Linked DNA regions of Oryctolagus cuniculus. The protein of the gene in region 1 interacts with the protein of each later gene in a pairwise test. Links are inferred from orthologs where the notes say so. Each region holds a gene or a part of one and is shown in the gene's direction. Other genes may lie near its edges. The genes, in order: UBQLN1, SRGN, TMUB2, TRIM32, retrotransposon Gag-like protein 8B, NGLY1 and MIEF2.

The links.
Region 2: the proteins of UBQLN1 (region 1) and SRGN interact in binary tests that used the Homo sapiens proteins (3 or more experiments, as listed by UniProt). The two-hybrid records come from large-scale screens. The link is inferred for Oryctolagus cuniculus from reciprocal best matches to the Homo sapiens genes UBQLN1 and SRGN.
Region 3: the proteins of UBQLN1 (region 1) and TMUB2 interact in binary tests that used the Homo sapiens proteins (3 or more experiments, as listed by UniProt). The link is inferred for Oryctolagus cuniculus from reciprocal best matches to the Homo sapiens genes UBQLN1 and TMUB2.
Region 4: the proteins of UBQLN1 (region 1) and TRIM32 interact in binary tests that used the Homo sapiens proteins (3 or more experiments, as listed by UniProt). The two-hybrid records come from large-scale screens. The link is inferred for Oryctolagus cuniculus from reciprocal best matches to the Homo sapiens genes UBQLN1 and TRIM32.
Region 5: the proteins of UBQLN1 (region 1) and retrotransposon Gag-like protein 8B interact in binary tests that used the Homo sapiens proteins (3 or more experiments, as listed by UniProt). The two-hybrid records come from large-scale screens. The link is inferred for Oryctolagus cuniculus from reciprocal best matches to the Homo sapiens genes UBQLN1 and RTL8B.
Region 6: the proteins of UBQLN1 (region 1) and NGLY1 interact in binary tests that used the Homo sapiens proteins (3 or more experiments, as listed by UniProt). The two-hybrid records come from large-scale screens. The link is inferred for Oryctolagus cuniculus from reciprocal best matches to the Homo sapiens genes UBQLN1 and NGLY1.
Region 7: the proteins of UBQLN1 (region 1) and MIEF2 interact in binary tests that used the Homo sapiens proteins (3 or more experiments, as listed by UniProt). The two-hybrid records come from large-scale screens. The link is inferred for Oryctolagus cuniculus from reciprocal best matches to the Homo sapiens genes UBQLN1 and MIEF2.

What each region holds. Positions count from the first base shown.
Region 1 is NC_091432.1:134,602,527-134,606,579, reverse strand, and holds the end of UBQLN1 (ubiquilin-1), read left to right. Parts: intron 1-1,594; coding exon 1,595-1,747; 3' UTR 1,748-3,553; downstream 3,554-4,053. UniProt on the Homo sapiens protein: Plays an important role in the regulation of different protein degradation mechanisms and pathways including ubiquitin-proteasome system (UPS), autophagy and endoplasmic reticulum-associated protein degradation (ERAD) pathway.
Region 2 is NC_091446.1:60,863,734-60,867,729, forward strand, and holds the start of SRGN (serglycin), read left to right. Parts: upstream 1-1,196; 5' UTR 1,197-1,990; intron 1,991-2,105; 5' UTR 2,106-2,217; coding exon 2,218-2,293; intron 2,294-3,996. UniProt on the Homo sapiens protein: Plays a role in formation of mast cell secretory granules and mediates storage of various compounds in secretory vesicles. Required for storage of some proteases in both connective tissue and mucosal mast cells and for storage of granzyme B in T-lymphocytes.
Region 3 is NC_091448.1:19,069,291-19,073,219, reverse strand, and holds the start of TMUB2 (transmembrane and ubiquitin-like domain-containing protein 2), read left to right. Parts: upstream 1-1,129; 5' UTR 1,130-1,298; exon of another isoform or gene 1,299-1,326; intron 1,327-1,416; exon of another isoform or gene 1,417-1,879; intron 1,880-3,204; 5' UTR 3,205-3,229; coding exon 3,230-3,771; intron 3,772-3,929.
Region 4 is NC_091432.1:220,201,029-220,205,217, forward strand, and holds the start of TRIM32 (E3 ubiquitin-protein ligase TRIM32), read left to right. Parts: upstream 1-1,389; 5' UTR 1,390-1,469; intron 1,470-1,608; exon of another isoform or gene 1,609-1,738; intron 1,739-1,885; exon of another isoform or gene 1,886-1,994; intron 1,995-4,189. UniProt on the Homo sapiens protein: E3 ubiquitin ligase that plays a role in various biological processes including neural stem cell differentiation, innate immunity, inflammatory resonse and autophagy.
Region 5 is NC_091453.1:112,833,394-112,836,643, forward strand, and holds retrotransposon Gag-like protein 8B, read left to right. Parts: upstream 1-1,490; 5' UTR 1,491-1,582; coding exon 1,583-1,924; 3' UTR 1,925-2,750; downstream 2,751-3,250.
Region 6 is NC_091435.1:161,886,322-161,890,358, reverse strand, and holds the start of NGLY1 (peptide-N(4)-(N-acetyl-beta-glucosaminyl)asparagine amidase), read left to right. Parts: upstream 1-1,237; 5' UTR 1,238-1,256; coding exon 1,257-1,405; intron 1,406-4,037. UniProt on the Homo sapiens protein: Specifically deglycosylates the denatured form of N-linked glycoproteins in the cytoplasm and assists their proteasome-mediated degradation. Cleaves the beta-aspartyl-glucosamine (GlcNAc) of the glycan and the amide side chain of Asn, converting Asn to Asp.
Region 7 is NC_091448.1:62,264,245-62,268,267, reverse strand, and holds the start of MIEF2 (mitochondrial dynamics protein MID49), read left to right. Parts: upstream 1-1,223; 5' UTR 1,224-1,379; exon of another isoform or gene 1,380-1,603; intron 1,604-2,587; 5' UTR 2,588-2,594; coding exon 2,595-2,741; intron 2,742-2,823; coding exon 2,824-2,986; intron 2,987-3,113; coding exon 3,114-4,023. Other genes in the region: FLII (protein flightless-1 homolog), read right to left, coding at 132-194. UniProt on the Homo sapiens protein: Mitochondrial outer membrane protein involved in the regulation of mitochondrial organization.

The sequences.
Region 1 (4,053 bases):
GCTCCTGGTTTTGGCCTGGCCTATCCCCAGCCATCGCAGCCATCTGGGAAGTAGACCAGCAGATGGAAGCCCTCTCTCTCTCTAACTGCCTTTCAAATAAATAAATCTTTAAAAAAAAAGTTGAAATTAAAAATAAATGTTACAAAAGTTGACTTTGGTGCTATATCAGACACGAAACAAAACATTTTTGTACTTGAAGAAATGCTACAAGGAATGTAATTTTTGAAGTTGCATTTTAAAATTATTAATTTTTGAAGTTCCTGTTGGAAAATCCATTTGAATTGAATATTGTTTAATGAAAGTTTGTCAGAGAAGAGTAGAAACTTGATTATCTTGAGCACATCCTGGACATATGTAGTCTTTGTATTTAGACTTTGAAAAACAATCCTGCTTACCTCACTCCATGTAACCGCAGCACTGCCCACCTGTAGTAACTTGTGTTACATATATATACCTCACAAATAAAGCTAAAAATATAGACTCTCCCCAATATTCTTGCATTGTAAACGTTTATTATCTTTAGAATAATCGTTTATAATGTACCATTATACAAAGGTGGTTGCCCCCAGACTTTACAAGCCTCATTTCTGAAGAAAGATGTGACGCAGCTGAGTCGTTAGGATTAAGAGTATAGTTTTGAGGCTGTAGGTTGGATGGCTGGTTCAGAAATGTAATCCACATTCTGAGCCTCATTGGAACTTTAAAATTCTATAGGTGAGCATGAGTGCGCTCCCATCTGCTGGTTCCCTCACCAAATATGACAGCTGGGCTGGACCATTGTCAGAACTGGGAGCCAGCGACTCATAGGTAGTAGGAACTTAATTGCCTGAGCCATCATTGTGCCTCCCAAGTCTGCAATAATAGGAAGCTGGAATCAGGAGCAAGGGGTTGAACCCAGGTATTCCCAGCGTGGGACACAAGCGTCTTAACTTCTAGACTAAACGCCTGCTCTAGGACACTGGTCAGTGGGAACTCTGAATTTACATATAAATGTCCAAGTTTTTCTGCATGTTCATGAGCATGTAAAGTAATGGTTGAAGTTTTTTTTTTTTACATCAGTTGTATGACCTAACTGGTTATTGTTTAGGTATAAACTAGACCATTTAAAATAACAAAGTAGAGGCGAGCATTTGGCGTAGTGGTCAATATGAAACTTTGGACACCCATATCCCGTATCTGAGATTCAAGTCTTGGCTCTACTCTGTGCTAATGCACACCCTGGGAAGGCAGCGGTTAATGGTTCAAGTACTTGGGTCCCTTCCACCTATATGGGACATGTGGATTCAGTTTCTGGCTCCTATTTTGGCCTGATCCGGCTTTAGCTATTGGCATTTCAGGAGTGAACCAGCTGATGGAATATCAATCCATTTGATTGATTGGTCTCTTCCTGCTTTTCAGATAGATTTTTCAAAAGCAACAAAATAAAGTGCTAATGTACATTTGTATACGTTGGAGGTGTTTCAAGAGAAAAGAGCGTTTTAAAACTGAACAAACCGACATATGTTATAAAAGAGCAGTTAAGTTTTAAAAAGTCATTTGTGTCTGACATGGACTGATTTCCCTTAGAATTTGATTCATTTTCCTTCTTTAACAGCTACAGAATCCAGAAGTCAGATTTCAGCAACAACTGGAACAACTCAGTGCAATGGGATTTTTGAACCGTGAAGCAAACTTGCAGGCGCTAATAGCAACAGGAGGTGACATCAACGCAGCTATTGAAAGGTTACTGGGCTCCCAGCCGTCATAGCAGCATTTCTGTATCTTGAAAAAATGTAATTTATTTTTGATAACGGCTCTTAAATCTTTAAAATACCTGCTTTATTTCATTTTGACTCTTGGAATTCTGTGCTGTTATAAACAAACCCAATATGATTGATTTTAAGGTGGAGTTCAGTAAGATGTGTGGGTTTTTCTGTGTTTTTCTTTTTTGGAACCGTGGGAATCAATGCTTTTTCATTTAAGGCTACTGCATGCATCAAACACTTCTGCATTTATTGTAATTTTTTTAAAACATCACCTTTTATAGTTGGGTGAACTGATTTTGGTCCTGCATCTGTCCAGTTTATTTGCTTTTTAAACATTAGCCTATGGTAGTAATTTATGTAGAATAAAAGCATTAAAAAGAAGCAAATCATTTGCGCTCTATAATTTGTGGTACAATATTGCTTATTGTGACTTTGGCATGTATTTTTGCAAACAGAATGCTGTAAGATTTATACTCCTGATGATTTTTGCTTTATTTGTATACAACACAGAGAATGCACCTTTCTAGAAACAAACTGCAGTATTTGACCCAAACACCTGTAATCACAAAAGTAAGAATAGGAAATGCTCTGAAAGCTGAGTATTTCCCAGTTGTATAGAATCTTACAGCATCTTTGGTAAACATCTCTCAGCAAAAGTGCCGGTTAGTCAGGTTCATTGGAAACTATAATAGAAAAGCTGATTTTGGCTGTCTGTTCAAGGACATTTAATTGTACAGACAACATCATGTAACATTGTCTCAGCATTCACAGAGTGACTGTAAATTATCTTACTCTTTGTGCAGACTGAAGGAGCACTGTAGTATACCCACAAATGCATTTGCCTAGGACTTTTCAGCTTCGCCCATAGGTAGTTTAGCAGGCATTACAATTTGTAATTGAAATGTTGCTTTCACTGAAAGTGTCTTGATGTTTCAGTTATTTTTAATTGCCATATACAAATAGGACTATCTTTTGGTTTATCAGTTTTCTCATGCACAGGCAATACATGAATTTAAAATGATTTGTGAGCCACTTGTTTCTGAAGTGTTTGGGTAGTTCTATTAAGAAATAGTTAAATATTGTGCTTTTCAGAGCCTCAGAGAAAGGGGAGTGGGGTGGGGGTGGGGTGGCGGAGTCTATCCTGGATTGGGCCAGCCTAAGTAATACTGGCAACCAAGATTCTGTTAGGATTTCTGTGCATATAGTGTAGTAATGAAGTATTCAGGGGTGAACAACAAAGAGCCGTTTTAACAATGTCGAATACATTTGGCTGTTCTATAGCCATTTTCTTCCCTCCCCACAGAAGTTCTGTTTGCCTAACTCTCAAACTGTCGGGGTGGTACATTCCTTTAGGACCAATTAAAACATAACTTCAGGGTCAGTAATATATTTGGCTGACTCTGGTTCAGTATTCTCTTAGGTCATTATATTATCTCATGTACAGTTACAGAAAATTAAAATGTTAAACTAAAATGAGTCAGACCAATAAAATCAAGGAAACTACAAGTTGAATTCCATTACTTTGATAAGTTGCTTGCTATTTGAAAAGGTTAGGATGCCGGGTTGCCCACCAGTCCATGCACTGTTCTGATGCTTCCCCCAGGAGGAGCGCATGCGTGACGGTCCGGCGGAGGCATGACGAGAGGAGGTTGCAGAGGAAGGGATTCATGTGTCTTTGCTCTTTTTGCCTTATGCCTCAGTCTGGTTTAAAAGCTTGTGTATGGTGAATGGTGGGACAGTGTGGGACAGTGTCATAACCAATTTGATGATTTATTAATCACAAAATAACAATAAATCTCTAGCTTTTACACTTGGTTTGTCTTGCCTCTTTTGTAGAAGGAAAAAGATAACCTTCAATTTATTATCTCTAACCATGTCTTTAAAAAGGCTTATTGCCGTCTATTTACCCCAGCTTGATGTTTTGATTATCCTTTAGTAGATTTTCAGGCTTCCCTAAATAAAATGTTAGTACACTGTATGGTGGAGGCAGTTTGGGCTCCACTTGCTTCATTGATATCTGACCAGTTATTTATTTGACTTTGACAAAGGCATGATTTCTTACTATAAAAGTGGTAGTAAGATTGACAAGGGTGCACTGGACTGGGGGATGTTTCTTTCAGCTGCTCCTGCGGTCTTTTTTTTTTTTTTTTTATTGTCCATATAGTCATGCTACTATGGGATCCCACCCCCCCCACTTTTTTTTTTTTTTTTTTAATTTTAAAGATTTATTTATTTGAAAGGCAGAGTTAGAGGGGTTTTCCGTCCGCTGATTCACTCCCCAGATGCCCATGACAGCCTGGGCTGTGCT
Region 2 (3,996 bases), on another chromosome or scaffold:
CTGGAAGTTTAGAGTACAGATCCTCTTTGGTTAACTGGAGGAATCTTTGGGCAGGAAGATGGGACCCTTCCCTACAGCGTGTGCCATGTTAGTGCTTTTGTGGCCAACCCTTCGTTGGTTGCCGACAGTATCAGAACCTGACCGATGGAGGCATGGAGAGTGAGTGGTCAGCACTCCTTGGCTGGCTAGTGAAGGACATGGGTTTGGACCCAGGACTTAATTTTTAAGGTGTTTTTTTTTTTTTTTTTTTTTTTTTAGTTTAAATGTGTTTTATTTTTAGACAACCTACATGACAATGTTTTTTCCTTAAAAACAATGCCTCCACTCAAGTAAATCACAGTCAAAATAAATGAGCTCAAGATAGCATCAGCCCCATTTCTTGTAAGTCCTGATGCTGTGTGGCTGACGAGCACCAGCCAGTGAGGATGAGCAGTGAGAGATCCAACGTCGTTGCCAAACTCACTACTATAAAAAGGAGGAAGATTACATTAACATTTCCCTCCACACACCCAAACATTTCTAGGCTGCAAAGACCCAGGACTGCTGACTGTTGCATGTCTTAATCCTGCTCCTGTGTAGCTTCAAGACCAGGGCAGTGAGGCCGGAGGAAGACTATTGGGAAAAAGGACTTGGTTGTCAATGTGATGGGAAAAGAACAAGTGCTTATGAACACTGAAAACGTGTTTGAGAAATCATCACGACCCAGAGGGGAAAATGAAGTATGCAGACCCCTCCTTGATCCAGCATAAGCTCTGATCAGCTCGGCGAGTGTGCAGGAAACTTCTTGAAGCCATTGGCAGGAGCTTTTGTTTGGGTGCCAAAGTTTTAATCTGGGGGCTAGGATGAAAAGAGACCAAAGAGGAAGCCGCATATTCCCAGCTGACCCCAATCTCCCATAGCGCGGAGCCTGCCGGCTTTGTGAGTTTGGGTGGTGGTCCCTGGGCAGAGTCTGGGTTGCAGCTGGCTCCGGAGGGCCTTCTGCAGGGCATCTGGACACACGCTTGTGTTCTCACAGCAGAGCTGTGCAGAGCTGTTCCTCCGTTAGACTCTGGGCCCCTGTCCTTGTCCTCAGCAGGAAATGGTGAAGGAAGCGGAGAACAAGGGAAGGGAAACTCCGCCCTCCTATCAGAGGAGAAGCAAGGGTGAGGATGTGGGGGAGTGTGGGGCAAGCGCAGGAGCCACAGGGACAGCCGGGTGGGGGCAGCGTGGCTGACTCTTGAGAAGATGTAAGGAAAATTGTATGCCCGGGGTCATGTGTGATAAACTGTCGCATCTGTTGTGGGACTGTCCTGCGGAGCCGCAGTCCAACAGAAATCCACACGCCACCCCCAGGGTCGCGGGAAACATTAGTTACAGGGGACAAGGGTCTGTGTGTGCTCACACCTCAGCAGCTTACGCCTAAGAGGACACCCACGCCCCTTGCTCCCTGCTTCTGGCTTCTGCAGGGCCAGAGGATCCAAAGATCCAGGTGGACATTTCTTCCAGGGGCAAAGCTGAGTGTAGAACTGGAACACAATTGTAGGAAACACTGGATGTCCCAGAGCAGAGAGCTGCAAAGCAGGGTTTCTGTTTGGCTCAGCTTTTGTGAAGGAACATCCTCACTCAGTTCTTGAGGTGGAGGGAGAACCGGGCACCAGCGGGAGCAAGTGAGCCCAAGGAGGGGAAGCTGTTTCTCTCAGCTCTGACCACTTGCTCTTGAGGATGAGAACTTAGCCGTGCGGTGTTGCTTCTCAAGCTTGGCCCAGTGACTTCTGTTACTCTCGGGTGAAAAAGCATAGGCAGAACATTTTAGACGGAAAAGCGCTCAGCGAGCAAGAGGCAGCGCCTTGCAGGGTCTCTTGGTCCCGCAGGGGACTCTGGGTGTGAGCCACCTGTAGTTCACAGCGGTGCCCGGGGAAGCAGAAACAGACCACCCTGAATGCTGATGCTACTGTTTTGATGGGAAAAAAATGTCAACAGGCGAGTAGCAGACAACAAAGCTTCGGAAAAAGTAGGTCTGGGGAGAGTCCAGGGCAGTTTCATAATGGGTATGAATTGTGATTTCGTGGCCTTTCTTTCTCTCTGGCTTTCTGGGTTTTGATGTGGATCTCTTTCTATTTGTTCAGGAAATTGTGACGTGAGTTCTGGGCAGGGTTTGAGGTTTTGGAACCCTCTCTAAAAGGGACAGCCAGCACCCTGCTGCATTTCCTAATCGTGAGTTGGCTTGAGCTGGTCACGATGCAGAAGCTCCTCACCTGCAGTGGGCTTGTCCTGGCGCTCGGCCTCATCCTCACTTTGGATTCTTCAGTCCAAGGTAAGACCTGGGAGTCTGGATCCCCTAGAGTCTTCTTTGGTCACGCAAATAATTTCTGTCCCTTCAGGGTACAGAAGGGATAGTGGTGTGGAACATGAGGCAAAGGTGGGTAGGAGTGGTGAACTCCTTAGTGTGAGTTCTATTAAGTTTGGTACCAAGAAAAATGCAATGCTGAGGCAGGTGCAGCCTTGTGGACTCTTGCAATGGTTGCAGTGTGCTGTGTTATTTTTGGGTTAATATGTGTGGTTTATACATAAAAACCCAGGAAAGAGATATGAGAAGTGGTCCATACGTCTGCTGTCTGGAGATAGCACCTGTGGGTGTTTGGAGATTTGCTCTCTGCCCCCCCTCGGGGGTTTAGTGCATTGTGGTGCTATTGTTATTTTAACACTAGGAGAGGCTAGTTTTCAAAATTGGGGTACATTTGACCATGTGTACTTTTTTTCTTTTAGAACTTGGTCACTACTGAAAATTCAATTGTGGTTAGACATAGTTAATGCAAACCCTATCAGATTTTAACGAGAGGCCAAAAGATGGAAGTATTTGTGCTGTTACTCAGAGAAGCATCACACTCGGCAGTGTCTTCTTGGGTTTCTCCGTCATCTGGGGGTGGTTTGCTTAGACTGGAACAACCTGAAACCATTGGTGACTAAGAAGATGAAAATGACCAGTTTATAAGAAACGTGATGTCTTCTTCTTTGGAATCATGTCTACACAAGGCCGTGGCCTGATCAATAGATGGCAGAATTTATGGTAGAAAATAAGAAGTTCCCCAAGTGGAAAGGGGAAACGTTGAGTCACAGTGACACATAAGTGCTGGATATGCGTCTTCAAAGTGACTACGAGCTGTCATGCTCTTACTTCCGGGGGAAATGAGATCTTACAGATGAACTCAGAGATGTTCCACATATATTGGAAAGTTATAGAATTATTTTCTCATAACGATGAAAAACAGCAAGTAATGTTCCTGAAACTTTTCCATTAATTGATTTATATTTGAAATAAAACATCCTTGAATGTAGGGAACTGGCTTTACCTGGGTCTTCTAGGGGAAATCTTCAACTTGATGTAACAGTTCCCTAATGGTCATGTGTTCCAACAAGCTCAGGAGCTGTGAGGCGGGGGGTGCATTTGGCACAGTGCTTGGATGCTACTTGTGACTCCCACACCCTGTACTGGAGTGCTTGGGTTCAAGTCCCCACTTTACTTTTTTTTTAAACATTTGTTTTATTTATTTGAAAGACAGTTATGGAGAGCGGAAGAGACAGAGAGAGAGAGAGAGAGAGGTCTTCCATTTACTGGTTCACTCCCTGAATAGCCTTAATGGCCAGAGCTGAGCTGATCTGAAGCCAGGAGCCAGAAGCTTCCTCCAGGTCTCCCACAGGGGTGTAGGGGCCAAGGTATTGGCCATCCTCTGCTGCTTTCCCAGGCACATTAGCAGGGAGCTGGATAAGAAGTGGGGCAGCCAGGACTTGAACTGACACTAATGTTGGTGCTGCAGGCCGAGGCTTTTTTTTTTTTTTTTTAAGATTTATTTTTATTTATTTTAAAGACAGAGTTACAGAGAGAGGTAGAGACAAAGAGAGAGAGAAGTCTTCCATCTGCTGGTTCATTCCCCAGATGGCCGCAATGGCCGGAGCTGCGCCAATCCGAAGCCAGGAGCCAGGAGCCAGGAGCCAGGAGCTTCTTCTGGGTCTCCCACG
Region 3 (3,929 bases), on another chromosome or scaffold:
CATCGCAGGTGGCAGCTTTACCTGCTATGTCAACACTGTATCCCTTCTCCTTTTGTTTTAAATATTTATTTTATCATTTTTTGAAAGGCAGAGCTAGGGAGACATCAAAAGATACATTTCATCTGCTGGTTCACTCCTCAAACAGACACAATGGCCAGGGCTGGCCCAGGCTGAAGCCAGGAGCCTGGAGCTTCTTCCGGGTCTCCCACGTGGGTGCAGGGGCCCAGGCACGTGGGCCGTCCTCCACTGCTTTCCCAGGCCATAGCGGAGAGCTGGATGGGACGTGGAGCAGCGGATGTTGGTGTCCCACTTGGTGGTTTAGCCCGCTGCGCCACGACCGGCCCCGGATTCCTTTTATATAAAGTGCAAAATCAGGAAAACTAACCTATGACGGACTTCAGTGGCTAGACGAGGTCTGAAGGGAGCTGGTTCTGGGGTCATTTCCTTTGCTGCTTCTGCAGGCTCGTTCTGGCCGAGAGTTCAGCCGGTGCAAACCACCGAGCCCTGCACTTAGGATTGCCCCGGCTGCATTATTTATACTTTAATCAACAGCTCATTAAAAACACAAACCCTTAGGTAAGTGCTGGGGAGCTGAGCTTTTTCTCCCGTCTCTCTGGCTCCTTTTCTCGTGCCCCGAGGCTGCGATGAATCCCTGCCTCTCTGAAACGCTTTCCCGCCGTATTTACCCAGGCTCCACGCCACCTGGAGCTGCCATCTTCGCGCACTGCCTAACCTGGCCCCTCCATCTGCCCTACCAGCCCAGAGCCGAGGAGGTCCTCACTGATTCCGGGGACTTGGAGCTCAGTCCGCGGCCCAGGGCGGTAAAGAATCCCTTCAGCCTGGGAGCCAGGGAGCAAGGCCTGAAGAAACAGGCCGCAGAGTGGGCGGCCTCTTTCAGGCTCCGGCCGGGGGAGCCAGCCTGGGCAAAGTTCCACGGCCACGAAGCCACGCCCCGCCCCGAGCACCTCCCCCCGGCCCCGCCTCTCACCCCGGTCGGCCTGAGGCCCCGCCCACCAGGCGTGGCCTTGAGCCCGGAGGGCCGCGATCCCGCCAACAATGACTCCGCCCCTTCTTCCGCTGAGAATCCTGTCCCTTTTATTTAAAGAATACGTTTACGTCAGCTCGCCTTACGTAGACGTGCGTCATCAGTGCAAGGCGCGGAGGCGGGACTTCCTATCTGTGGTTCTAACAGCTTCCGGGAGAAGCCGGAAGAGACTGGACTGTGGACCGAGTCGAGGATTGCCAGCCCCTCCCCCGGTCCCTACGGAAAGACGAGGCCAGGGGCCGTCCTGGAGAAGGTAAAACTATTTAGTCTGGACTTTTCAGGTGAGGACCTCCTTCCCCATCCGAGCACAGTACCAGTCCAAGCCCCCTTTAATTTTCCCATGACTCCTCGCGCCCTCAAGCCCCACCCCCGGTCCAGCAGCCCCGCCCCGAAGTTTGAGGGGTGTGGATGGTTTGTGACCCCCTCACCTGATCCTGCCCCTCGGGGCCTAGGAGAGCTGGGCTTGGGCGCCGTGACCGGAACCCGGCAGCCCCCGCGCCAGCGTTGCGGGAGCAGGACCGCCCAGACGCGGAGCCTGCGGCTCGGACAGACGGGGAGGCGGACCCTCCTCACTCAGCGCGCCGACGGGCTGAGAGGGCGAAGGCCCGGGGGGCGGGCGGGCTGGGGTCCCGGTGTCCAACCAGCCGTTTCGGTCGCTTCGCCGCCACCCTTTTCTGTAAAGCGCGGCTCATGCCATTACCGCGCCTGCCGTGAGGGCTTGGTCGGGGCAGTGGTAACCTGATGGCTGCCACTTGAACGGCTGCAATGTGCCGGGCAGCGCGCTAGGTAGTTTGCTTGGGTGATTTCACGTCATCTTCCAAACGACCGGCCGAGGTAGGTGCTATTTTTAACCCCGTTTTACCGAGGCTCTGAGAAAGTTGTCCGCCGCCAGGAAGAGGCAGGCGGGCGGGCGTTGTGATGGGTTGCTCTGTGTTTGCTTTCTCCCCGGCCGCAGGGGCAGGGCCGGCGTGGCGGGTGAGGCCGAGGTTGGTAGGTTCCCCAGGCGCGCAGTCCTCCTTGTCTCCTGGATCGGGTAGAGAGCCGGACAGCTAGAGCCGTGTGAGGAAGTTGCGCAGGTGCGGTGAGGACAGCCCGATGCTGGTGACCGCCGGCCTGGACTTGCCCAGGGGCGGCTGTGAGCGCAGCAGGTTCTCGGAGGAAGCGCGCAGGGTCAACGCCGCGGCCCAGGGAGAGCTGAGAGGGCCTGGGAGAGCCGGCGTGGAATCCTTCCCGAGGCGGTTCACCTGGGGAGTGCGTGTGGTGCTTGTGAGCCCCTGGTGGCCCCTCCGGTGGCCTCTGGGGAGGTGTGACTGCTTCGATGAGAGGTTCATTTTCCTTAGGTCTTGACAGCCGGGCCTGGATCTGCGACCGTGAGGGAGAAGGGGCTCAGATCTGCAAGGCTGGCCGCACAGGGCCTCCGAAGAGGCCTTAAGATAAAACTTTTCGGATTTCTTGGTTTCTCTACAGCTGCCTTGGAGGTTGCTTAGGGGACATACTTGCTTGACCGAGTGTTGGAAAGTCTAAGAACTGCGCTCAAAGAAGCGAATGTTTCTCCCCATTCACTAAAAAGTAGCAGCCGTGCAGGCGGGTGCTGTGGAGCCTGGGTATGCGGCCGCCAGTCGGACATCGCCGTCCTGTGTCGGAGCACGGGTCTGTGTCCCGGCTGCTCCGCTTCTGCTGCAGCTCCCTGCTAAGGGACCTGGGAAGCAGCGGAGGATGGCCCAGGACTTGAGTTCCGTATGGGAAACCTGGATGGAGTTCAGGCTCCTGGCTTTGGCCTGGCCCAGCCCCTGGCAGCTGCGGCCACGTGGGAAGTGACCCTGCAGATGGAGGACCTCTCTGCACTCTGCCTTTGAAATAAATGTTTCAGAACAGCAAACAGTGGCAGCAACGACACGCAGAGGAGGTCTTGCCGGGGATCTGCTGGTGGGGAGGTTGGAATGTGGGAGGAAGGGTGTGCAACCTGAGAGTTTCACAATCGTGGCAAAGGGTAAGGCCTTGGCTTTCAGTTTGGGGTCCAGAGTTAGGAAGCTTTGTGCCTCCCTTCTCCACTGAACTCCATTTGCAGTCAGGGCTGGGTCAGTGAAAGCCCAGACAAGCTAGAAACCTGGTCACAGCTCCTCGGGCTCCACTGATGCCGCCCCTCTTTGTTCTTGCAGCCCGGACCCCGTCGGCAGCCGGACCATGGAGCTCTCTGATGTCACCCTCATTGAGGGTGTGGGCAATGAGGTGATGGTGGTGGCCGGTGTGGTGGTGCTGATTCTCGCTTTGGTCCTAGCCTGGCTCTCTACCTATGTAGCAGACAGTGGCAGCAGCCAGCTCCTGGGCACTATCGTGTCAGCAGGCGATACATCTGTCCTCCACCTGGGGCACGTGGACCACCTGGTAGCAGGCCAAGGAGCCCCAGAGCCCAGCGAACTCCCCCCTCCATCAGAGGGTAATGATGAGAAGGCTGAAGAGGCCGGCGAAGGTGGGGGACACGCCACAGGGGAGTCGGGGGCTGGAGGCGGTGCCGAGCCCAGCCTGGAGCATCTCTTGGACATCCAAGGCCTGCCCAAGAGACAAGCAGGCAGAGAGGGCAGCGGGCCTGAGGCCCCCCTGCGCTCCGAGGCTAGCACCTGCATCCCTGCCAGCCCCGGCCTCATCCATGTGCGGCTCAAATTCCTCAATGACACCGAGGAGCTGGCTGTGGCCAGGCCCGAGGACACTGTGGGTGCTCTGAAGAGGTGAGTGGGCTGGAAAGCGGGAGGCTCCCAGCCCTTGGTGGGGGACGGTGGGGAGCAGCAGGGAGGCGTGAGGCACAGCCCCTACCAAGGGTGGGGGGCATGCTTCCTTCAGTTCCCTGGCCGCCCTCCCACCCCTCACCTTTGTCTTTCCTTCCGTG
Region 4 (4,189 bases), about 86 Mb from region 1:
GAAGAAAGGAAGAAAGGAAGAAAGGAAGAGAAAGAAAGAAAGAAAGAAAGAAAGAAAGAAAGAAAGAAAGAAAGAAAGAAAGAAAGAAAGAAAGAAAGAAAGAAAGAAAAAGGTGGATTCTCAGGGGCCAGTATTGTGGTGCAGTGAGCTAAGCCACTGCTTGGTCCGCTAGCATCCTACATCAGAGCACCTATTTTGAGTCCTTGCTGCTCTGCCTCTGATCCAGTTCCCTGCCAGTGTGCCTGGAAAGGCAGAGGAGGTGGCTCAAGTACTCAGGTCGCTGACGCCCACATAGGAGACCCTCATAGAGGTCTAGGCTTCTGCCTTTGGTTGTTACCATGTAGCAAGTGACCCAGCAGATGGGAGATCTTTCTGTCCCTCCATCACTCTTGTCTTTCTAGTAAATAATTAAAAAAAAAAAAGTGGTTTCTGAATTGTATTCAAATCTGGGCTCTGAAACTTAGGAACAAGTGGCTTTGCTATTGAATCACCTAGGCATCAACTGCCTATCTCAGAAAATCCTTATAAGTATTAAAGGAGCCAGGTATGTCAGATGCAGGCAGACAAGAAGTGCTCCAAGATGTTTTGGTACCATTTTTGTTTGCTGTTTTATCATTGTTCAGGGTAACACAGCTAAGTGGAATTTCAAATGCAATCCTATCCTACTTCACACTCCTTTGTGCTCCTAAACTACCCAGTACAGTCGTGACCTCAGGGACTATAGGTCACTCCAGTAGAGGGGACCACAGACCACCTGGTAAGTCTCCCCACCCCGCAAAAGCTAGACTCTGATTTGGGCTCCTAGGTAGCTTCAGTCTGCAGGGACAACCTGTGCTGTAGGCTGGAGAGGCAAAAGGTTTTACCGAGAATAATCTGATTAGGTAAAACTTCCTCCAGCAGCTGGTGCGGTGAGTCAGAGGTTTGCCCGGGGCGCTGCACTCTGAGGTGGGCAGGTTCTGTGCTTGCGCAGAATGCAAGTTTTAGTCTTTCTTTGTCCATTTTTCAGATGAGGCAACCGAGGTTCAGAAAGGCCTTTCTGAGGAGTGCAAAGGCTTTGCAGAGGACCACTCATGCAGGGCATGGTTTAGTGCAGAGGTTTAGACTTTGAGACTGGAATCAAACAAGTGAGTTCTGGCTTAGCTCCCAAATAGTTGAGTGAACTTGGGAAGGCGCCTTTCGCCCGTGGGCCTCAGCTTTCTAACCCATTCAAAGACACCAGAAAAGTATTTTGAGTTGCTAAGTGCCACCGTTTTTCGGTAAAGAGCTAGTCACGGAGGATATACCCAGCCCGGGCGCTCGCACTGGCTGGACCACAAATCCCAGCATGCCCCGGGGGAGGTGGGGGCGAAATGACGGACAGGTCGCTCTGCGAATTGCTGCCTCACAAGAGTAGCACGCGCCGCGCGTGCGCAGAAACCGGCGAGCGGTGGGCTGCCGGCGGCGGACGCGTCGGAGGCGCGGGCGGTCAGGTAGGGGGCGGGAAGGAGGGTAGGGGGAGGAAGGATCGTGGTCTGAGTCGCGGGCGGTGGCTGAGCGGCCGCGTTGGAGGCCCGCAGCCAACTGGCAGGGTGTGGGTACCGGATCTGAGGGCAAAACCTGGGTGGGGGTGGGGCTGTGAGGGGCAGTCTCGGGAGAAATTCGGTGGGGGTGAGGAGTTGCGAGGAGATGTAGCTAGCTGGGGGAGGGGAGCCAGGGGCTCTGAGAAGATTCGCAGTTGCAGCATCTCGGGAGATATGAGGTAATGTGGGACCCTTGAGGAGACAGGGGGTGCAACGTCTGATAAATGGGAGGGAATCTGAGGTGCTGGAGGGGTCTGGGTGTAGAATTGCAAAAACAGGAAGGACACAGGGCCCTGGTGAGATTTGAGGATCTCAGGAGATTTGAGGGAACCGGGCGGGGGCCAAGATCTAAGATTGGAAGGAGAAGGTGTAGGGCGAACCTAACTGCTAAAGAGAAAGGAATTTGCAGAGCGCTATCTGGGGGAAATGGAGGAGGTGAGTTCTTGGGGACAAGCAGTATCTTGTTAGCAAAAGGAAGGGGGCTAGGCTAAGGTTTGAAAGCAACACAAGAGACAAGATTTAGGTAAGAAAGAACGTAGCGGGGTTTGGGGACCGCACAGTGCCTGGTGGAATGCAGGAGATGAGATTCAGGTGAAACGATGACAGAAATCGGGGTGCAGGGCTGAAGGCTCCAGAGCTTTGGAAACACGGATTAAAGACTGTCAGGGGGATATGGGGCACAGGAAGGAAGAATCGGTGCGGGTTGCAATATAGAGCCCAAAAGGTTGCAATTCTGTATAGCAAGATGGTTGGGAACAGGGTTTTAAGAGGATTGAAAGGGGGGAGGGGTGAGAGGCGATGTCATGAATTAAAAGACTTTGAGTAGATTTGTGGGCTGGTGTTGGGCTACTGAAGGATTTTTTTTTTTTTTCCTAAACTCCCTGCACGGGAAGCAGAGGGTGTTCTGGGCACCTGAGCGTCCAAAAGAAATTATATAAATGTATGAAATTGAGGAACAGTCATGAGCCTTCGTAGGTCATGAAGGTGCTTTTACTTTTCTTGTGAGGGGCAGAATTTTCCTCAGTTATTAGCCAGAGTTCCCTGATGAGGCAGGCATGGTGCTGCCACTATCTCTACTTTGACTTGCTAACATTGGTAGGAAGAAGAGTGATCAAAGGGGTGATGAAGCAGAAAATGACAAGGTCATGTGCCTAAGCTTTCCTTTCCTTGTATCCCCAAGTTGTGAATGACAATATGAAAACTCCAGGGAAATGAGTGGAATTCATCCTGTGTAAGGTCCATTATAGCTTGAAGAGGCAGTGGCTTTGCAAAAGAACTGTTTGGAATGGGAGAGAAACAATAAAAGGAAAACTCTTTTATATTGAACTTTTGGTCCTTTGCTAGACTCTAAAGAAGTAGTCTTCATGAGGGGCAGTTTTGTCCCCAGGGGACATTTGGCAATGTCTGGAGACATCTTTGTCACAGCTGGGATGGTCAGTAGTGGGTAGACACTGGGGATGCTGTTAACATCTGATAATGCATGGGACAGCCCCCAACAGAATTATCCAGGCCAAAATGTTAATAGTGCTAAAACTGAGTGACTGTTCTGTAGTCAATATTCTGCGTTCAAATCCTGGCTGTATCTCTTAACTGTGTGGTCTTGAGTGAATACCTTAACCTCCCAGTGCCTTGGCTCTTGGTCTGTAAAATGAGTATAACAGGACCTATGTCATCATATATTGAAGATTCAGTGAAGGTATACATAGTGTGAAGTACATAGTAAGTGCTTAGAATTCAGTAGTTTTTGGTTTGTGTATACATTTCCTTAGTTTTAATAACAGTTTCCTGAATATAAGTTTTACATATGAAGGAACTAAGACTTAAGAAGTGGCTTACTTAAGGTTTTTTAGCTAGACTGGGTAAAAGTTAAACTAACATCCAGATCTCTGTAACTGTACATTTTCTCTTTGCTTCTTTCTTCCTTGTGTGGGCCTGCTTAGTCTTACTTACTTGGCCCATTCCCCACTACTAAAAAGGAAGATTGCCCAGTGAGTACACTGCATATCAAATTGAATTCTAAAGGTAGGGTGGTAACGGATGAGGCTAAACTATCTCTGATTAGGTATGGAGGATCCCTAATCTTTGTACTTGGTTTGCTTTTAGACCATGACCAGTGGGTAGATAGGGAGAGGAACTTGAAGGTAGCAGGATGGATGTACAGGGAACCAGAGTCTGAGGTATGGAGGCCACTGACTTGGACTTGACAAAAACACCTTCCAGCAGGTACTGAGGCTTAAGGCAGCCCTCCTGCAGGAAAATAATTACTGTTATGAGTGATCTCTTTTAAGTTTCTTTCCCCTGGTATAGCTTTAGGACTACCTACAGCATTGCTGAAGCCAGCTCAGAAACAAAGCTGGACTGGGTCCAGGGCAAGAGACATAACTAAAATACCCACATACAGTGCTTGGGAAAATGTATAGTGGGAATTCAGTCCATCTGGGAATCAGAGGCTAGAAGTCCAGACTCCTTACTCTGCTAATTTTCTGTGACTTTGGACAAGTACTTGTCTTGTCACTTTTTTTTTTTTTTTTTTTTTTTTTTTGACAGGCAGAGTTAGACAGTGAGAGAGAGAGACAGAGAGAAAGGTCTTCCTTCTGTTGGTTCACCCCCCAAATGACTGCTATGGCTGG
Region 5 (3,250 bases), on another chromosome or scaffold:
GTGTCAATTTGTTAAGTCAACAACAGGAGTCACTGTGCACTTACTCCTCATGTAGGATCTCTGTCCTTAATGTGTTGTCCAATGTGAAGTAATGCTATAACTAGTACTGAAACAGTATTTTACACTTTGTGTTTCTGTGTGGGTGCAAACTGATGAAATCTTTACTTAATATATACTAAATCGATCTTCTGTATATAAAGATAATTGAAAATGAATCTTGATGTGAATGGACTGGGAGAGGGAGCGGGAGATGGGAGGGGTGCGAGTGGGAGGGAAATTATGGGGGAGGGAAGCCATTGTAATCCATAAACTGTACTTTGGAAATTTATATTTACTAAATAAAAAAAGAAAAATAGATAGGTTGAATGTTTAGTGTTTTTCTGACTATCCTTCAAGGCACTTCTGGTACTTCAGTGGTCTATATAGATCTACCAACAGTTAAAGAGACTATGCTGCAAACTGAAGCTAAATGGAAGCATTATTCTCCCTTCTACTGCTTTTATAGTCATTTATGTATCTCCTAACTCTAACGTTCAAACGTCTGGTCTGGTCGACAGGCCCCGTTTAGGGCAAAGGAAGTTTTCTGGAAACTCCATCCTAGTCACCTTCTCCAGCAAAGCTGTTTTTAAATCAGGACCGGCTCCACATGCCTGCACAGGAACATCTGTGCTCCTGTCCCTTCCCTCATGCTCCCTCTCCCTTCTACAGCATTGCCACTGTCGTTACACACACATGCATTTTCCACGTCCTTGAAATAGTCCAGAACTGCTGACGTGCTGTGCAAGGAGCACAGTATGAAATTTAGGGGAAAAACAGGTGTTGAAGGGATAATAGGTGTCTCGTGTTTCATAATTCGTGGCAGGATTGTGCCATAGACAAGTGATTGAACTAGGTAAATCACACACCGAATTTTACTGCAGGAAATTAAGGTATTTATTTGCATTCAACCCTCCGTACAGTAGCTGCTCAGGGTGTAATTACTTTGCGCTAGTACTTGGGGTTGGCCTGTAATGTTGCAGAGTCAACACCTCTCTGGCTGAGACACACGACCGAGTTGCACCATGTGTTCAGAGACCCTCCCTCAAAAGGCAGCCAGAGCCCAGATCCGCAAAGGGATGCGCAAGGGCGCGGAGTGAGGGAGGACGAAGGGCGACGCCCCCGGACTCGCTAACTTCCCCAAGTGGAACCAGAAGCTGTCCAAGAGCAGCAGACCCCAGCCTCGCCACACGCATCTGGGGTGTCGCGTTCCTCCGCGGCTCCCCGCCTTTCGCCCGCCGCCCGCCGCCCGCCTGGGACCGCCCCCTCCCGCCTCCAACTCCGCCTCCTCCAGGGCTGGCCACGCCCCCGGCCGCCCCTATCCCGCCCCCTGCCGCGCCTCCCTCTCCCCCCGCCGCTGCTGGCTCCCGACACGCGCCTGCGCCGTGCCGACCGCTCGGCCTGGTGGGCGGGCCCGCGCGCCGCCCGCAGCCCGGCGCGTGACTCCGCCCACACCCGCCCCTCCCCGGGCCCGCCTCCGCGACGAGTCCTCGCCGCGACGCCCGAGCGCAGCCTTCCGCGCAGCCCCGCCAGCCAGCTCGGCGCGATGGACAATCGCATGCGGCTCGTGAAGGCCCTGCTGGCCCGGCCGCTGCGGCCCGCGGCGCGTCGCTGGAGGAACCCGATCCCCTTTCCCGAGACGTTTGACGGCGACACCGACCGGCTGCCGGAGTTCATCGTGCAGACGGGCTCCTACATGTTCGTGGACGAGAAGACGTTCTCCAGCGACGCGCTCAAGGTGACGTTCCTCATCACCCGCCTCACGGGGCCCGCCCTGCAGTGGGTGATCCCCTACATCAAGAAGGACAGTCCCCTCCTCAGTGATTACCGGGGCTTTCTGGCCGAGATGAAGCGCGTCTTTGGCTGGGAGGAGGACGAGGACTTCTAGGCCGCCGGAGCCTCGGGCCCGGGGCCGGCTGCCCTGGGGAGGGTGGGCTGCCCGCCGGCCGCCGCCAGGGTCGCCGCGGGCGGCCCCCGCCGCGCTCGCGCCCGAGTCGAGTCCCGCCGCCCCCCTGCTCCCCGAGTCGCCGCGGCGTCCCCTCGCCCCCGCCCGCCCGCCCGCGTCGTGCTTGCCTTTGTTCCAGGAATAGCGCTCCAGGCTGGCGCTGCTGCCTCTGGGCCTGGCTCTGGACAGCGCCGCCGCCCTGCCCGCTGCCGCCGGCCCGGCCTGTGCCCTGCACCGGGGGCCGCCGTCCGGCCCTCGGGCTGCAGGCTGGGCCCCCGCCGCGCGGCCGACGACCAACCACGCACCGCCGGCCGCCCCCCGCCAGCCCGCATCGCTCTGCCCACGCACCTGCGCCGCCGCCGCCGCCGCCGCCGCCGCCCCCGGCCTCCCGCCGACAGACTGCTCTTCTGAGCCACCTGGACTCCCCTCCGAGGGGTCTGGGCTGGCCGCGGCCCTCGGACCCCGACTCCGACAGCCGGCTGCCCGGCGGGGCCAGCCGGCCTCCCACCATGAGTGAGGCCGCGCCCCCTCCTCCCAGAGACACCTTGAGGGTCTGGGCGCTGAATCGCGCCTGTCACGTCCTCCCGTGGACATGACAGTAGTTCTCCCCGCCCCCCCGAGTCCCGGTTCTTCCGAACGTGCAGCTGTCTCTCTGATGTGTGCCTTGTGTCCCACACTATGACCCTGTGGTCTTCGCGGCTCTTTTACACTACCTGTACAGAAGTCTTTCCATTCTTTCAATAAATGTCAGACCCTGTCCAATAAGAAACTGCGTTCACTGAGTGTGCCACCTTTCCCTCCGTGCTCCTACAAAGCGGGTCTGTATCTTGTTCAGAAACCGCATGACCTGTTTCAGTGTTTCTTTGGACCATCCTAAATCAAGATTCCACTCCTGCCGTGGTCCTGGGGATGGAGAACCTACCACTGAGCATTCTGTCGCTGGTGCTGAATCCTATAATGCTATTAGAAATGTTTCATAGCTCTTTGGAAATGAATCTTTACTTCTCTTTTTTTCCCCTAGGTGATTTGAGAATTCATCCATAAGGGTTCATTGAAATGATTTCCTTATTTCTCAAAAGTTATTTGAAAGCCCAAGTCTCAAATTGTTATAAAATATAAAATTTATACACTCATTGTTTCTAAGCAGCTGTGAAAGTTTTATTTACTCTGATTTTTTTTATTTTCATTTTCAAATCCCAAGAAACATTTTGAACATTTTCTTAGTTTCCAGTGATGCTGTGCACTTCTGCAAATTCCCAAGGGATCACC
Region 6 (4,037 bases), on another chromosome or scaffold:
TGTGTGGGATGCAAATGTTGATTCTCTGGCCCTCCCCCCACATCCTACTATTATTGTGGATGTGTTTCATGCTGGCCACCACATCCCACTGACGCGTGGCTCCTGAAGTTTACAAAACACTCCTTTACTGAATCCTATTATCTGAGCCGGGACTTAACCGACTTCAGAATCTGCATAACCAGGAACCCGTCAGGGCTGACGGCCAAGCTCCTTTTTTTTTGGACGGCTGTTGCTCGTTCCTTCCGGGGTCGTTCCTTCTGGGGGTCTTTTTCATCCATGGCTACTATCTGTCTAGCACCGCCTGGGCACAGAGGCCATAACAGTGTTTTATTGGTGGTGACGACAAGGAACCAGAAGCGGCCTCTCCACCTTCGCGGCCGGGTCCCGGCGGCTGGCACTCGGCGCTGAGGAAGCCGAGTTCCCCGGACCCTCTCGGACGCAGCCCACACCTGCACTCCGCGCCCCCCGACCCGGCCGGACACCGCCGTCCCTCCGGCCCGCGCCCCGCCCCCGCCCCCGCCCGCAGGCCCCCGCCCCGGCCAGACACCGCCATCCCTCCAGCCCGCGCCCCGCCCGAGGAGCCCCGCGCCCCCGCCCCGGCCGGACACCGCCGTCCCTCCGGCCCGCCCCCCGCCCCGCAGGCCCCCGCCCCAGCCGGACACCGCCGTCCCTCCGGCCCGCGCCCCGCCCCCGCCCCGCAGGCCCCCGCCCCGGCCGGACACCGCCGTCCCTCCGGCCCCCGCCCCTCCCCCGCCCCGCAGGCCCCCGCCCCTCCCGAGGAGCCCCGCGCCCCCGCCCCGGCCGGACACCGCCGTCCCTCCGGCCCGAGCCCCTCCCACCCCCCTCCCCGGCCCTGCAGGCCCCCGCCCCTCCTGAGGAGCCCCGCGACCCCCGCCCCGGCCGGACACCGCCGTCCCTCCGGCCCGCGCCCCGCAGGCCCCGCCCCGGCCGGACACCGCAGTCCCTCCGGCCCGCGCCCCGCCCCCGCCCGCAGGCCCCCGCCCCGGCCGGACACCGCCGTCCCTCCGGCCCGCGCCCCGCCCCCGCCCCGCAGGCCCCCGCCCCGGCCGGACATCGCCGTCCCTCCGGCCCCCGCCCCGCCCGAGGAGCCCCGCGACCCCGCCCCGGCCGGACACCGCCGTCCCTCCGGCCCGCGCCCCGCCCCCGCCCCGGCCGGACACCGCCCCTAGCGGGCAGCGGCGGCGGCGGCCGCGCCGCGGAGGCGCCTGCTCAGTGCGGGACGCGCGCGCTCGGGCATGGCGGCGGCGGCGGCGGCGGCGGCGGCGGCGCCGGGCGGCTCCTCGGGCTCGGCGTCCCCGGCCGTGGCCGAGCTCTGCCAGAACACCCCAGAGACCTTTCTGGAGGCCTCCAAGCTGCTGCTCACCTACGCCGATAACATCCTCAGGTGTGGGGCCGCAGGGCCGGCGGGGGGCCGGGGCGGGTGGGCCGCGGCGCCTGCTCGGCCCGGGGCTGAGGGGCGCCGACCCCGGCCGCGCGCAGGCGGCGAGGCCCGGAGGGGCCCGGGCCCGAGGGTGGCCCCGGCTCAGCTTCCAGCTCCGCCGGCCAGGCCGCAGCGCCGTGAGAAGAGCGAGTGCCTTCGCAGGTGTGACCGGGCGTTTGCTGGCGGCCGCCCAGGTGACCCGCCGCGCCTCGGCCTGGGGTTCGCCTGTGTTCAGTGCCCGGGCGGCGGTGCCAGCGGCGTGGCTGGCAGGTGCAGCCGCTTGTCACAGCGCGGTCCGCGACCGATTGAACGTCTCAGGACTACTTTCTGCTCCTGTTTAGGAAGGGGTGGGCTTCACATGGTTTGGGCTTTTTTTTTTTTTTTCTGCCCATGTTTGTTGGTTGCAATATTAACCATGGTGCTTCAGTTACACTTTATATATTAATATCTAGAGTCCACTTTGCAGTGCGATCCTTTAAGAATTAGTGAAGGTTGTCACCTTGGAGGAGACCTTACCCGTTGGGGGAATTGTCAGGCAAGGTTGATTATTGTCATGCTCCACCCCCGCCACTCCCAACTCTTCAAATCAGGCCGTGTGTCTTCAGGAGGGACATGGCTTTAGGGGAAGGGACTGGAGTTCCAGGTGCTTCCATGGAGTTCCCTCTTGGGTCACACTTGTGCAGGTTCTGGCGCGTCTTCCTCTTCTAAGCGGTGTGTGGATTGGCATGAAGTCTAAAAGTTCACTTTCAAGGCTGTAGGCACTATGTGACCCAATTTTTAGAGCAATTGCAAGTGCAGTTTTTAAACCCATGGCAGCAGCATTGTTTATTTAGGTAAAGTTAATGATTTTGAAAGTACACTGAAGGGACAAGCTGTTACCCCCTTATTATGTGCCAGGAGCTGTGAGAGATGCAGCACGTGGACTGTTCACAGCCAGAGAATTGTGACCTAGGTGAGGACCACCCTCCTTCTCTGTGACACCTTCTCAACTCACCTTGCCTACCCTTGGAGGCCATACGGCCCTTCCGAGTTCGCAGGTGCCCGTGGCTGCTGTGAGCGAATTTATAGGCTGTGTTCTCCCGAGGCCATCAGCTTGGTCTTCCAGCCTGGAAAGCCAGCCATCAAACTGTTTTAACCCTGCTGTTCAGAGAAGGCGGGTGGCCTTGTGATGAGGATTCACTCCTGCTTCCCGGCCAGTGGAACCAGGGTGTTTTGCGGAAGGAAACCTTTGCATGCGAATGACTGTGTGCATGGTAATCATTTTGAATGTTTGGTAAACTGAAAGATTCTTGGTATGGAATCAGTCCATGTACTGTCTTTACTGTGGCTTGATTCTGATGTTCAAGAGTTTCTATCTAAAAGGGGAATTATGAATTTGGAACTCAGATAATTGGAGATGGTATTGAAAACTGCACTTTTTAGTTTTTCTTAGCTGATAGTGTCCCTAACGTCATATTCTCAGAGTTCAAACCCCTTCAGGCTGGGGGACAGTGAGACAGCGGGTGGGGATGTGGAGGCTTGCCAGCTTCCTACAGGAAAGCCTCAGATCCCCTCCGCGTCTCCCACCACTTGACCTTACAGATCTGCTGAGCTAACTGCAAAATACAGAAGCTCAAGATTGTCTGTTCCCCACGCTGTTCGGGGCAATCTAGCATTAGAGGTAAGGGATTGTGTAAAGGGTTTTGGTTTGCTGTCCCTTGCTCTTACCTCAGGAAATGACATACAGTTTCCTAGAATGAGTGCTGAAGTGAGAATTTCATCAGGTTTTTATTAAGCACCAGTACTTGTCACTGTACACACTGAATCTCAAAAGTAATACTTTTGGTTCAGTTTTAAATGTATGCTTTGGATGATATTTAGCCTATCCTCCAACTGATAGCCATCAGTGTAATTATAGAATAAAATACGTGCTAATTTGCAGGCATAATATGTCATGGATTTGAACCTTTTTTTCTGTTCACTGACTCTTAGATAAAATGACCTGTCCTCTATGGTATCTACTTTCCCCAAAATTTGTAGCAGTTTCATTGACATTCTATAGGGGTTTGTAGAGCATTTGTTCCATTTATTCTTTAAAAGATATCCTGATTTTTCACTAATTTCCTTTGTACACTGCACACAATTATTGATGATAAACTGCACTGGCTAGTGATAGGGAAGAGCCAGCAATGGAAAAGTGGCTTATTTATCCAAAGAATATAAATCTGTTTTGTAAAAACACACAGTTATGAAAAGGGGCAACGTCATGTCCTCTATGGACAATTCCATGAGAGTATTTAAGTGCATGCGTGTTTATGTGAGGAGATAGCAAGAGGACCTGACATGGTACAGTTTTGAGAATAGAAGTTTGATGAGATAGGACCAGTTGGTGGAGTAGCAGAGACTGTATATCTGACATGATCTCCAAGATCACAGTTTCTAAGGTCAAAGAGAAGCATAAAATGAGAATGCTTCATGCAGAATAGTAGTAAGACACATGACATTGATTCCAGTTGTAAAGCTATTATATACTCATAAATGCAGATGGATTGGAGACAGGCAGTATAGGCAGGAATTGGCAGTTCTAATCACTGGATGCATGGAGTAGAGCTATAGT
Region 7 (4,023 bases), on another chromosome or scaffold:
GACGCTGGGCGGAGGCCCGGGGTGCCGGCTGCGGGCTGCGGTGGGGAGGCCCGCAGAGCCCCGGCCGCCGCCCGCAGTGTGGCCGGAGGCGGGCGAGGTGGTGCCCGCGCCGAGCCCGGATCGCCGCTCACCTTGAAGTCGTTGCCGCTGAGGTCCACGCCGCGCACGAACGGCAGCACCCCGGTGGCCTCCATGGCGGCGCCGCTCTCGCTGCCGGGCCGGCCGGGCGCTGGGGGCGGCTCGGGAGCCGCGGGCTGGGCCAGCGCCGACTCCGCCCCGTTAACCCGCCCGCGCCCGCCGCCGCCGGCACCTCGGGCCTCGCCGGGGCCCGGGGCCTTGCGCTCTGGGGACCTCGCCGGGGCCCTGGGCCTTGCGCTCTGGGGACCTCGCCGGGGCCCGGGGCCTTGCGCTCTGGGGACCTCGCCGGGGCCCTGGGCCTTGCGCTCTGGGGACCTCGCCGGGGCCCGGGGCCTTGCGCTCTGGGGACCTCGCCGGGGCCCTGGGCCTTGCGCTCTGGGGACCTCGCCGGGGCCCGGGGGCCTTGCGCTCTGGGGGCCTCGCACTCTGCGTCCGCGCACAAGGGGTCCCCGGCGGTCTCCGTGCGGAGCCGGGGCGGCCCCACCTTCCTCACCCTACCAAGGTGGTGGCCGGCAGCGAGTGACCACGCGCGCACGTGCGGCTCGAAGCACGCAGCAGGTGCTTGGTGCGTGGCAGGTGGTTCTCATTAAGGCCCGCATGCAAACCACCCTTCCCAGGGGCGCTGCCTACGTCCCCATTGTACGGCACGGGAAACTGAGGCCCAGGCGGACAGAGGGCAGGCCCAGGGACGCACGGGGCCGGCGGCACACCCCCTACCCCGCGCGCAGACAGGTGCTAAGGCGCTCCCGCAAAGGTGACTTAGGGGTCGGCGTGCAGGCCTTTGGACCAGGTGCTACCACCCGTCTGCCCGGCCAGAGGAAGGAAACTGGGGCCCAGCCAGCTTCCTCCACGCGGGAGGCTCACATCACACACGCACACGCGCACGCATCCCCCGCGCCTCTGTGGGCTCCAAGCAGGCACCACGCAAACGTTGCGGGCCCAATAATGCAGCCCTGCGCCTTTAAATCCGGAGTGCCCCCGGAAAGCCCCGCCTCCGAGGGAGCGCGCAGGGCGGAGAAGGGGCGTGGCAGGCCCCTCATTGGCCGAACCTCGCAGTGTTTTGGAACGCCCCTGAAGAAGCCGAGCGCTCCGATTGGAGCTAGGGCCTGCTCGTCTGCCTACGCCAGCGCCTCGGCCTTCGGGGCCCGGGTCCTTCACGTTCCATCCGCAGGCGGGTTCCGGCGCCGGGTCCCGGCGGGCCCGCTGCGTGGTCCGGTCGGTGTGTGGACGCCGCGACGCAGGTACGGCTGGGAGCCCGGCGGGGCCTCCCCGACAACCCGCATCCCGGGTCCCCCAGCCCTAGGTGTGGCGCACGTCCGGGGGCGGGGCCCGGGAGGATTCCTGTGAGCCCCGAGTTCGAGTCCCGGCCCTGCCGTTCCCGGCTCGGGTGCTTGACTGGGTTTCCCAAGGCCTCCGTTGTCCTCGCCTGTGAACCGGCCCACCGAGGGACTGCCGCGCCGGCCTGGTAAGCCCGGGCCCAGCGCCGGCGGCTTGCGGGTTATTTTTAACTGCTCGGTTCCTGCGCGCCCCCCACCCCTTAGGTGGCACGGAGCCCTCGCTGGGGCAGGTGCGCGTGCGCTGGAGGGGTGGGCATTTCAAGTGCTTTACGCACTTGGCAGCGTGGAGGCCTGGGGGCCGATGGCAGCGCTGGTCCGTGGCCGGGGCCGCGGGGGTCAGCCGGCTGGCCCGTGACCTCCCCCAGGACGCCGGAGCCCCGTCTTATTTTTAGTCTGGCGCTAAGAGGCAGGTGTCCCGGGCTGAGTCACACAGAGCTTCGGGCTCCAGCTGCCCCGGGCAGTGGGGGGGCAGGGCACCCAGGGCGCAGCAGGAGGGCGGGCCGTGACCTCGCCGTCCAACGCTGAGGCTCCCGGGTGCCCTTGGCCACCCGTCCCCTGCACCCTCAGGGCCCGAGGTCAGGGTGGGCGTGGGCCTTCTCTGCCTCCACTCGGGCACTGCTCACCTCCTACCAGCTGGGCTGTGGCTCCAGGCCTGCATCTGGCTTAGCATCCTGCAGCCAACCCCCACCCCCCGACCCCGCCCCGACCTCTTGAGGAGCCGGCCACAGCCAGGAGGCCCTGCCCCCCCATCCCCTACCCTGACCTTGTGCTGAGCCGGCCACAGCCAGGGGGCCCTCTCTTTGGGGTCTTCATCTTTGGAGTTCCCTGCTCAATGCCCTTCTACATGATGGCTCCTGGCAGCCCGGACCCTCTGCCAGGGGCCTCCGTGTGAGCCCCCTTTGCCAGGGGCTGGGTTATTGGCCGGTTTGGGGAGGGGTCGTGGCTGCTCCCCCGGCTCCGTGCAGGAAGCCCTGCTAGCAGCCCCTGACTCACGAGGAATCTTCCAGAAGCTCCTCCTTGTGGACCCCAGAGCCCCTGTGCCTGCCCAGCCAGGTGCCCTCCCCGCCCCACCCCCACCCCGCAGCTACCCCGCGCCCCCGGCTCCCCTGCAGGTGGACCATGGCGGAGTTCTCCCAGAAGCGGGGGAAGCGGCGTGGCGGCGAGGGCCTGGGCGGCGCCGTGGACTTCCTCCTGGCCAACGCCCGCCTGGTGCTGGGTGTGGGCGGCGCGGCTGTGCTGGGCATTGCCACACTGGCCGTGAAGCGGGTAAGGCCGGGCTGGCGGGGGCTGGGGCTTGGTCATGGCTGCCGGCCGCCAGGTGCCCTGCTCAGCGCCGCTCTGCCCGCAGCTCATCGACAGGGCCACCGGCCCCCGGGACGAGGATGACGCCAAGGGGGACGGCTGGACGGAGCTGAGCCTGCTCAAGGCCACGCCGCACCAGCAGCCCCGGCCCCCACCTGCCGCCCTCAGCCTGCCCGAGCCACGCCGGCCCCCTGCCCCCTCCACGCCAGGTGAGCCGGAGCCTGCGCCCGGGTCCCTGCTCAGGCTGTTGGAGCTGTGTGGCCAGGGTGCTGGGATGCGGTCGGGTTCCCGCAGTGCATTGTGGGCTGCTCTGACGTGTCCCCCTTGCCTCTGCAGAGGGGCCCGCGGACGCCGGTCCCCAGCCGCCGCCTCTGCTCAGCCCCCCGGCCCCGCTGTGCCTGACCTTCCAGGAGAAGCTGCTGGCATTCGAGCAGGCCCACGTGGCCATCCCCGAGGCCCAGGTGGCCTTGGCCAAGCAGCTGGCCGGCGACATCGCCCTGGAGCTGCAGGCCTACCTGCGGAACAAGTTTCCCGAGCTGCCCTTTGGGGCCCTCGTGCCCGGCGGGCCGCTCTACGACGGGCTGCAGGCCGGGGCCGCCGACCAGGACCACGTGCGCCTCTCGGTGCCGCTGGCGCTGGAGCCGGGCCTCTGGAGCCTGGTGCCCGGCGTGGACACCGTGGCCAGGGACCCTCGCTGCTGGGCCGTGCGCAGGACTCAGCTGGAGTTCCGCCCCCGCGGCAGCAGCCCCTGGGACCGCTTCCTGGTGGGCGGCTACCTGTCCTCCCGCCTCCTGCTGGGTCTGCTGCGCAAGGCGCTCACCGCCTCCGTCAACTGGCCGGCCATCAGCGGGCTGCTCGGGTGCCTGATCCGGCCCAGCGTGGCCTCGGAGGAGCTGCTGCTGGAGGTGCGGCACGAACGCCTGGAGCTCACCGTGGCTGTGCTCCTGGCCGTCGCCGGGGCCGGCACGGGCGCCGACTGCCAGCTCCTGGCCTGGCCCCTGGAGGGGCTGGCTGGGAACCTCTGGCTGCACGACCTGTACCCCAAGGAGGCTGCCCGACTGCGGGCCCTGGATGAGCAGGACGCCGGCAGCCGGCGGCGGCTGCTGCTGCTGCTATGTGGCGTCTGCCGTGGCCACCCCGCCCTGGCCCGCCTGGGCCGGGGGCCCCTGACGCAGGTGGTCCTGCGGGCGGGGGAGCAGGACGTGGACTGGACCGAGGCGGCCCTGGGGGAGCGCTTCCTGCAGGC